Linked DNA regions of Macaca mulatta. The protein of the gene in region 2 purifies or fractionates together with the protein of the main gene of each other region. This does not show direct contact. Links are inferred from orthologs where the notes say so. Each region holds a gene or a part of one and is shown on either strand. Other genes may lie near its edges.

Region 1 (4,132 bases), on a different chromosome or scaffold from region 2:
AAGCAGTATTTCAAATGTGTTCTTTAGGCTCATTAATTTACTTTATTCTTGAAAAGAAACATACCAGCTTACGAATTCGGTCCAACACAAGGTCAATGATCTCCTTGCCAATGGTGTAGTGCCCTCGGGCATAGTTATTGGCAGCATCTTCCTTGCCTGTGATGAGCTGCTCAGGGTGGAAGAGCTGGCGGTAGGTGCCAGTGCGAACTTCATCTGGAGAAGGAGGGAGAGAAGGATGGAGGGAGTGGGTGAGTGGGTGACTAGCGGAGCCCCCCAGGACAGACCTCCTGTCCCAGCATCCTGGGATCTCACTTGGGTTACTGAGGTCAACTCACCAATGACCGTGGGTTCCAAGTCTACAAACACGGCCCGGGGCACATGCTTGCCAGCGCCCGTCTCACTGAAGAAGGTGTTGAAGGAATCATCTCCTCCCCCAATGGTCTTGTCACTTGGCATCTGACCATCGGGCTGGATGCCGTGTTCCAGGCAGTAGAGCTCCCAGCAGGCATTGCCAATCTGGACACCAGCCTGGCCAACATGGATGGAGATGCACTCACGCTGTGGGAAGGAAAAGTGAAAAAATTGTAAAATTAAGGCGTATTAGCATTTCAAACTTTTAGTAAACTTTTAAAAATATTTCTAATAATATACAGATATTTTTCAAAATTATTTGAGGTCACATCCCTAGCACGATACAAAGATTAAGGAAAATGACCTGCTGCAAATGCTGCATATGGGTGTGGTCTGAATAATGATGTCGCCTTGGCCCTGTTCAGCACATGGTACCAGCCCATTGTGCCTACTACCATGCTTGAATAAAAGACTTTTCATATTTAAAAAGTATTCAGTATTCAAAGCACAAATTTTGTAAAATGAAGTAAATTCAATTATGACATAATTGGGATTAATTTTACTGCTTTCTTCCCTTTTAAATAAAGAAGAAAGTTTCTTCTGAATAGGACTGACTTGATATTATAACATGGACATCTGTACTGCAGCTGAGGCAAGAAGCCACACCCTTCTGCAGTCTGTCTGCAGAATCCATCAATACAAGGGGTTTAGACAAGGTCTGCTTCTGCCTTCTGCATTGCTGCATTGCTGTATTTGCTGTGCCTGGTGCTAGCCTGTACTGTCTGCTACATTATTTAACAGAGCAAGCTCTATTTCCAGCAACTGCCTACATGATCTCATTGTGCTGTTTTGCCAGTTTTCCTCCTCTGACCCCGCCCGGGACCATGTGCCTGAATTGAAATGAATTAATGAAGATGCACTAGAACAAAAGACAACGGGATGCGGAGTATAATTCTTTGTCTGTAGCAATTTCATTCCTTTTTTTAAAGAAAAAGGTTTTTCCAGATCTTCTCCACTGTAAAAGCTGAAAAATTATCCGTATCTTAAAACACACACACACACACACACACACACACACACACACGTTCCTAAGTTAGAAACAAGCATCACATGAAAAGGTAGCAAACAAAGAATAAAAGCCCAGTGGAACGATAGTGAAATATTTATTTAAAACAACAAAATAGTATTTTAATCCTGAGATTCTCTACCCACCACATAATATTCATATTCTTTGCATCCAATAGAGGTTTTCTTCTCTGTGGTCTTTAGGGCTACCACTTTCATTGTCTATTCGCTGATGTGGTGGGGGCGGGGCGGAGGGGGGCGGCGGGGAAGGGCGTTTCCCTGGTCCTGACCATCAGGGTACCCTGGGGCTCACAAAGTGGGCTTTCTCCCTCGCTGAACGAGCAGCGCGCGCACACACACACACACACACACACACACACACACACACACACGACCATCAGGGTACCCTGGGGCTCACAAAGTAGGCTTTCTCCCTCGCTGAACGAGCAGCACGCACGCACACACACACACACACACACACACACACACTTCAGTCGGTCAGGGCAGGGCGTCCCCAGACCAGACATTAAAGAGTTTGTCAAGTGAATTGTGATTTTGCTCAAGAGAAAAAAAAAAAGGTCATCTTAATTATAATAGCGAAGAAAACCCTTTTGGAGCCTACAGTTCCGCAATGATGAAAAGTTTTTTTTAAGTCAGCTCCTGACAGAGGAGGTTTAGTGAGGGCGAACCCCGCCCAGTGGCTCCAACGCCATAGAAGCCAGAAACAAACAACCCCGCCCCTGCGCCGCCCTGACACCCGCTGCCGGGGGCTCCAGTAGAAACTCACCATGTTTCCCCGGGAATGTGTGGTTATCTTTCCAAAACGCCAACGACCGCGAGGGGTCTTCCCACGCTAACCCCAGGCTGCGCTTTGTTCCCGTTCCCCCTCCCACATCCCCCAGCTCGCCCAACGCCCCCGCTCTTTTTGGGTGCCTCCTCCTCTCCCGGTCCCCAGAGAACGAGGCGAGACAGAAAGGGGCCCCTCGGCGTCTGCGAAACCGTGCGCACAGACACTGGACCCAGCCGGGACGCCCGAGACCCCTCGGTTGCGGCAGACGGGCTGCCCGCGACCCCGAAAGGCTGTAGGACAACACAGGCGCCCAGGCGCCGCCTTTGTTCCTCCCCAGCGCTCTGCAGCGCCCTGGGCGCAGTCCTGGCCGGGTTCCTGCACCCGCACTGCGGCGGCGGCGGAGCTGGAGGATTTGGGGTAAAGCTAAACCTCACAAAACACACCACCACCCTCGCCCAGAGAGCTTACGAAAGAAAAGAGCTTAAAGATTTTCCAAGCAGAGCCTGGGGGCGCTGACTCCACCCAACGGCCACAAAGAGCCAAAGCCGATTCTCACCATGGTTGCTGCTTCGCGACTGCAGAGCAGATGGCGGAGACAAGGAGGAGAAGGTTGTTGCTTCTTACAGCGCGACTCTTAGGCGGTCGATGTAAGAGAACCTGCGGCACATGGGCGGATGCGGCTCCATATATACAACTCGGTCACCATGGGGATGGGCCGGGGCCTGTTCCTGTTGGTCCAGACCCCCAATCTGCCCAGAGAAGCCAGGACAGGAGACTGGTGATTGGTGCAAACGACGTGGGATGAGGTAATCTCTCCCCCACCCCTTTTTCTCTAGCATCCGTAGACTGTTTGCATCCTTTAGACAAAGAGACCGTGCAGAAGCATTCTGCCGAGCATCCATTATGGGGTGGGGTCGGGGAGGGGCGGAAGAAGAAAGGGGACTGGGGTTGGAAGACTTTATGTTGCTTAAACCCCAAAATGCAGTTAAAATTATCTATGTGAGGTTTTTTCCCCCTACCCTTAATAACAGATTTATGTTCAGATTAAATATTTAAAGGAAAATTACTGCCAGCCCCTCCCTCGCAGTATATTAAACTCGACTACATTTTGTTAGGGTTCAATATCTCTAATTGCTTTAAAAATAAAGTGGGAGAGAAAATGGGCGTAATGCTCAAAACGGTCTGGGTAATTGTGATTTTTTTTAATTTAAAAAAAACATTTAGTCATACAGTCATTCAAAATGGCTTCTCAGGTTCAACTAACTTATTTTCAGAGCTTCTTTTGCAGGCACATGCACACTCGAATAGCTAAATAAAACTGGAAGATGGAAATAATAACCATACTAAATAAAGAAGCGAACAAATAGTTCTAACATGGCAATAATCAACAGCAAGTGCACGTAGAGTAGTTATAATAGTTTACTAGAGGTATTCCTTTATGAGAAGTCTATGTAACACATTTTGTGTGGTGCATTGTCCTTTGGAATGAATCATCTTTCCTGATATAAAATTGGGAAAATACAAGGAGAAATAATTGAGCTCAGAAGTTAGTACTACATGTGTGCAGTTACATATCTGCACTGGACTTTTGTCTGGAAAGTAACAAGCAAAATAATAGTAATAACCAAGACACCAAATTAAAAAGAAGAAGAGAATAATATAATGTAAAAAGAAGACTATTTTGCAATGTTGCCTCCATCTACAGACAACTGTGAAACATCAGCTCAATAACTGCATTTACTTTTTATGCAGTTCTTATGTCAATTTGGTAAATATCCTCCTGCGAGTGGGCTTCTGACTGTGGGAATTTTAGCCAGCCTCACACCCTTGCTATTCAACTAGAGACTCTGGTGGTTGCTCAGTTGCCCCTTGGGACAAAAAGGCTTTGCTTTCACCCCTAGGAAATAAATTGGAGTAACATTGTCT
Region 2 (3,647 bases):
ATTAACGGAGCATTTAAATACAACAGATGGGCAAGTAAGCCAATTAAGTGGGCCAATACGTTTATTTAAACAAGTCCAGGTCAGGTATGGTGGCACACACCTGTAGTCCCAGCTACCTGGGAGGTTGAGGTAGGAGAATCGCTTGAACCTGGGAGGGGAGGTTAGAGTGAGCCAAGATGGCATCACTGCACTCAAGCCTGGGCAACAGAGCAAGACTCTATCTCAGGAAAAAAAACAAAGAACAGAAAACATGTCCATTAGTTTAAAAAATAAACATGACGCCGGGTGTGGTAGCTCATGCCTGTAATTCTAGCACTTTGGAAAGCCGAGGCAGGTGATCACCTGAGGTCAGGTGTCCGAGATCAGCCTGGCCAACATGGTGAAACCCTGTCTCTACTAAAAATACAAAACATTAGCCAGGAGTGGTGCTGGGTGCCTGTAATCCCAGCTACTTGGTAGACTGAGGCAGAAGAATTGCTTGAACCTGGGAGGCAGATGTTGCAATGAGCTGAGATCGTGCCATTGCACATTCCAGCCTGGGAAATGAGCGCAAAACTCTGTCTCAGAAAAAAACAAAAAAAACCATGAATTTTAATGAGACCCAATTCTTCACCTAACTCCCTTCTCAAATCCTTAAAAATATGCCTATCCCTTGATCTAATAACTCTTAATTAGGAATGTGTTCAAATAACTTCATTCTAATTTTTTAAAAGATGGAAGAACTATGGTTTAACAGCAGAGAATTAAGTTTGGAACACTATTCAATCATTTACAGGACCACTGATTTCAAAAAATGATCCTGTTTATATTAGATGAGGAGATTCCTTATTTTCTATTAGTAATATACCAATATGCAAAATTATGTCTGGATGGAAAAACATTATATATTACGCTGCTAAGATCTATTTCTGAGTGATAGGATCATATATAACCTAACTAAGAATGGTTTTTTTTTTGAGATGGAGTCTCGCTCTGTTGCCCAGGCTGGAGTGCAGGGGCCGGATCTCAGCTCACTGCAAGCTCCGCCTCCCGGGTTTATGCCATTCTCCTGCCTCAGCCTCCCCAGTAGCTGGGACTACAGGCGCCCGCCACCTCGCCCGGCTAGTTTTTTCTATTTTTTTTTGTAGAGACGGGGTTTCACCGTGTTAGCCAGGATGGTCTCGATCTCCTGACCTCGTGATCCGCCCGTCTCAGCCTCCCAAAGTGCTGGGATTACAGGCTTGAGCCACCGTGCCCGGCCAAGAATGCTTTTTAAACTATAAAATGTTAATAATAAATCTGCCACAGCATTCAAGACTTCAGAATAAGTAGCTCAGAACTCACCTTTGTCAATATGAACCTCTAGAATCTTCTTCTCTCGAACTATCTTCCTTCCGTTGCAGCTTTTACATCTATCTTTAGGACTGATCCGCTCCCCATGGCCCTGGCACTCCATGCACACAGACTGAATTTGCTGAACCATTCCAGGTCCTATCTGATGAATTCTTATTTGCATTCCAGTACCTCGGCAATTGGGACAGCACTCTACTGCTCCTTTCTTACCTCCTCTACCTAAATGTAAAAAGAAAATTGAATAACGTATGAATTAGTGTATACAGTAGTAAATGTTTTAAGAAGACAATTCCTAAATGCTGTACTTTTAATATTTTCAAAGTCTGATGGAATGCTACCCTCTGAATATGTAACTGATGAAATCATTTTAATTAGTTTTATTCTCATTAGAACATACTTCATTTCCAGTAAATAATTTTACTTATTACAAAAAAGATACCAAGCTAGCTTGATCCCTATATTTAAAATATACACAGAAAATAGTGCTGTTATTTCTTTAGGTGGCAGGTTTTCAGTCGGTTTTCTTTATATCAGCCCTCCCCTCCCCCAAAATCTACGTAGTGTACGTGAGTCAATTTTACGTATCCAGGAAGTCTTAGCTCCATTTTCAGGTGTCATATTAAAGACGTTTAAAAAAACAAAAAACAAAACAAAAAAAACCCGTACCTTCACATTTGTCACAAATCACATTCTTTTGCAGAGCCAGTTTTCTTGTTGCACCATTATATAAGTCTTCTAGGGTTACTGAGAGCTGATGTACAACATTTTTGCCTAAAACAAAGTATTTCTCATTACAAATCTGTTTGATGTTGAATCTTACTTATTCGTGCTAAAGGCACTATAAAGAATGTGAAAGGATAATAAAAAATGAGCCTCACAGGGTACATCTGTTGACTACCTACTATATACACAGAATATCCTCAAACTGTGATGTAATCACAGATGAGAGAAAATCAGGTCAGAAATTAAATATTTGCCTAAGGGCATAGACATGACCATCTTGGAAATATGGTAAGCAGAAACATTAACCTCAAAGTCACCTGAGAAAAACCAACGTTATTTAAAAGGGCACATTTCACAATAATCCAAACATTCATTTCTGTCACAATATATTCTTTGAAGCTTTCACTTCGTACCGTATTGAGCAACGTGACCAATTACTTCATCCAAAAATTCTGTAGCACAGTAAATTCTCATTAACCAAGATTGGCCAGGGAAGTTGATGCATTTATTGAGTTACCACAGAAGAGTATCAATTTCTACTTCTTCCTGATTTAGTAGAAAACAGCCCATTTACTGCTGGGCCAGCACCGGTTGTTTTAAAGGCCAAATTTCTCATACCTTTTATACTAGCATTGCCCAACAGAACTTTCTGCAGTGATAAACGTTTCATATCTGTTCTATCCAACACAGTAGCCACGAATCACATGTGCTTTCTTTAGACTAAGAAACTGTAGTTTTGTTTTTTTCTTAAATTAATGGAGCCACACATGGCCAGTGGCTCCTAAGGAGTGCCTTACTTCACTTAAATCAGAATGGGAAATGGAAGGTCAAGATCTCATAAGGACACGGAGGTTAGAAATATGAAGTCACCTGCTAATAAGTTAGTAAGTTCCTAGCTAGTGATCCTTCCACAAGAACTTATTCACAATATTACTGCATTTCCACCAACTGAAACAAGTTCTCAAACTCGTTTCTGTTCATGCCTAATGAACATTTTTACTTTCTAATCAAGCATGAAATACCATTAATTATGTCCTTCTGCTTATAGCTCCACCTTTAGTTTTGGCACGCTAAAATCTAGCTGCCCTTATTTTGTACAGTGTTGAGAATATAAAGAAGGAAAAATAAAGCTTCTAGAGCTTGGGGAAGCACATTTCCCCAAAAATAACCTCTCAATATGATCTAAAGCCACATAAAATAGCTTGCCAATGTTAACCTGCAGGTCAGTTCTTTGTAAGGTAAATGAAAAACCACCACTACTTTTTTGTGGACAAATTCTACCAATTTACTAAGCAAGTGATTTGGATTATGCACTTTCTTTTTAAGGAGTTTAAATATCTTAGAAGCTCAAAGTGAAACTTAATGGCTTGGCCATTCATTCTAAAACTGGTTCTGCTCATAGCCCTTGTTTGTATTCACTATACTGGTAATAAAGTGAGACTAATTTCTCTTGACTTAAACACTTTATTCCTATGAGCAGTATTTCTAGAGCCCATAGGCCACTTTCCTGATAAATATATTAAATACATAATTTTGACACAATAAAGCTGAAGCAACATTAGATAGGTGGCAGGCAACGAACCAGTTTTCAG

The links. The genes of interacting proteins can lie anywhere in the genome.
Region 1: the proteins of DNAJA1 (region 2) and TUBA1A purify together in Homo sapiens (affinity purification with mass spectrometry; 3 studies listed by BioGRID and IntAct, with this or other methods). This does not show direct contact. The link is inferred for Macaca mulatta from reciprocal best matches to the Homo sapiens genes DNAJA1 and TUBA1A.

Annotation. Positions count from the first base shown.
Region 1 is NC_133416.1:56,351,483-56,355,614, forward strand, and holds the start of TUBA1A (tubulin alpha-1A chain), read right to left. Parts: upstream 2,856-4,132; 5' UTR 2,766-2,855; coding exon 2,763-2,765; exon of another isoform or gene 2,207-2,762; coding exon of another isoform or gene 2,204-2,206; intron 559-2,203; coding exon 336-558; intron 214-335; coding exon 65-213; intron 1-64. UniProt on the Homo sapiens protein: Tubulin is the major constituent of microtubules, a cylinder consisting of laterally associated linear protofilaments composed of alpha- and beta-tubulin heterodimers.
Region 2 is NC_133420.1:66,342,891-66,346,537, forward strand, and holds part of DNAJA1 (dnaJ homolog subfamily A member 1), read right to left. Parts: intron 2,132-3,647; coding exon 1,999-2,131; coding exon of another isoform or gene 1,993-1,998; intron 1,552-1,992; coding exon 1,324-1,551; intron 1-1,323.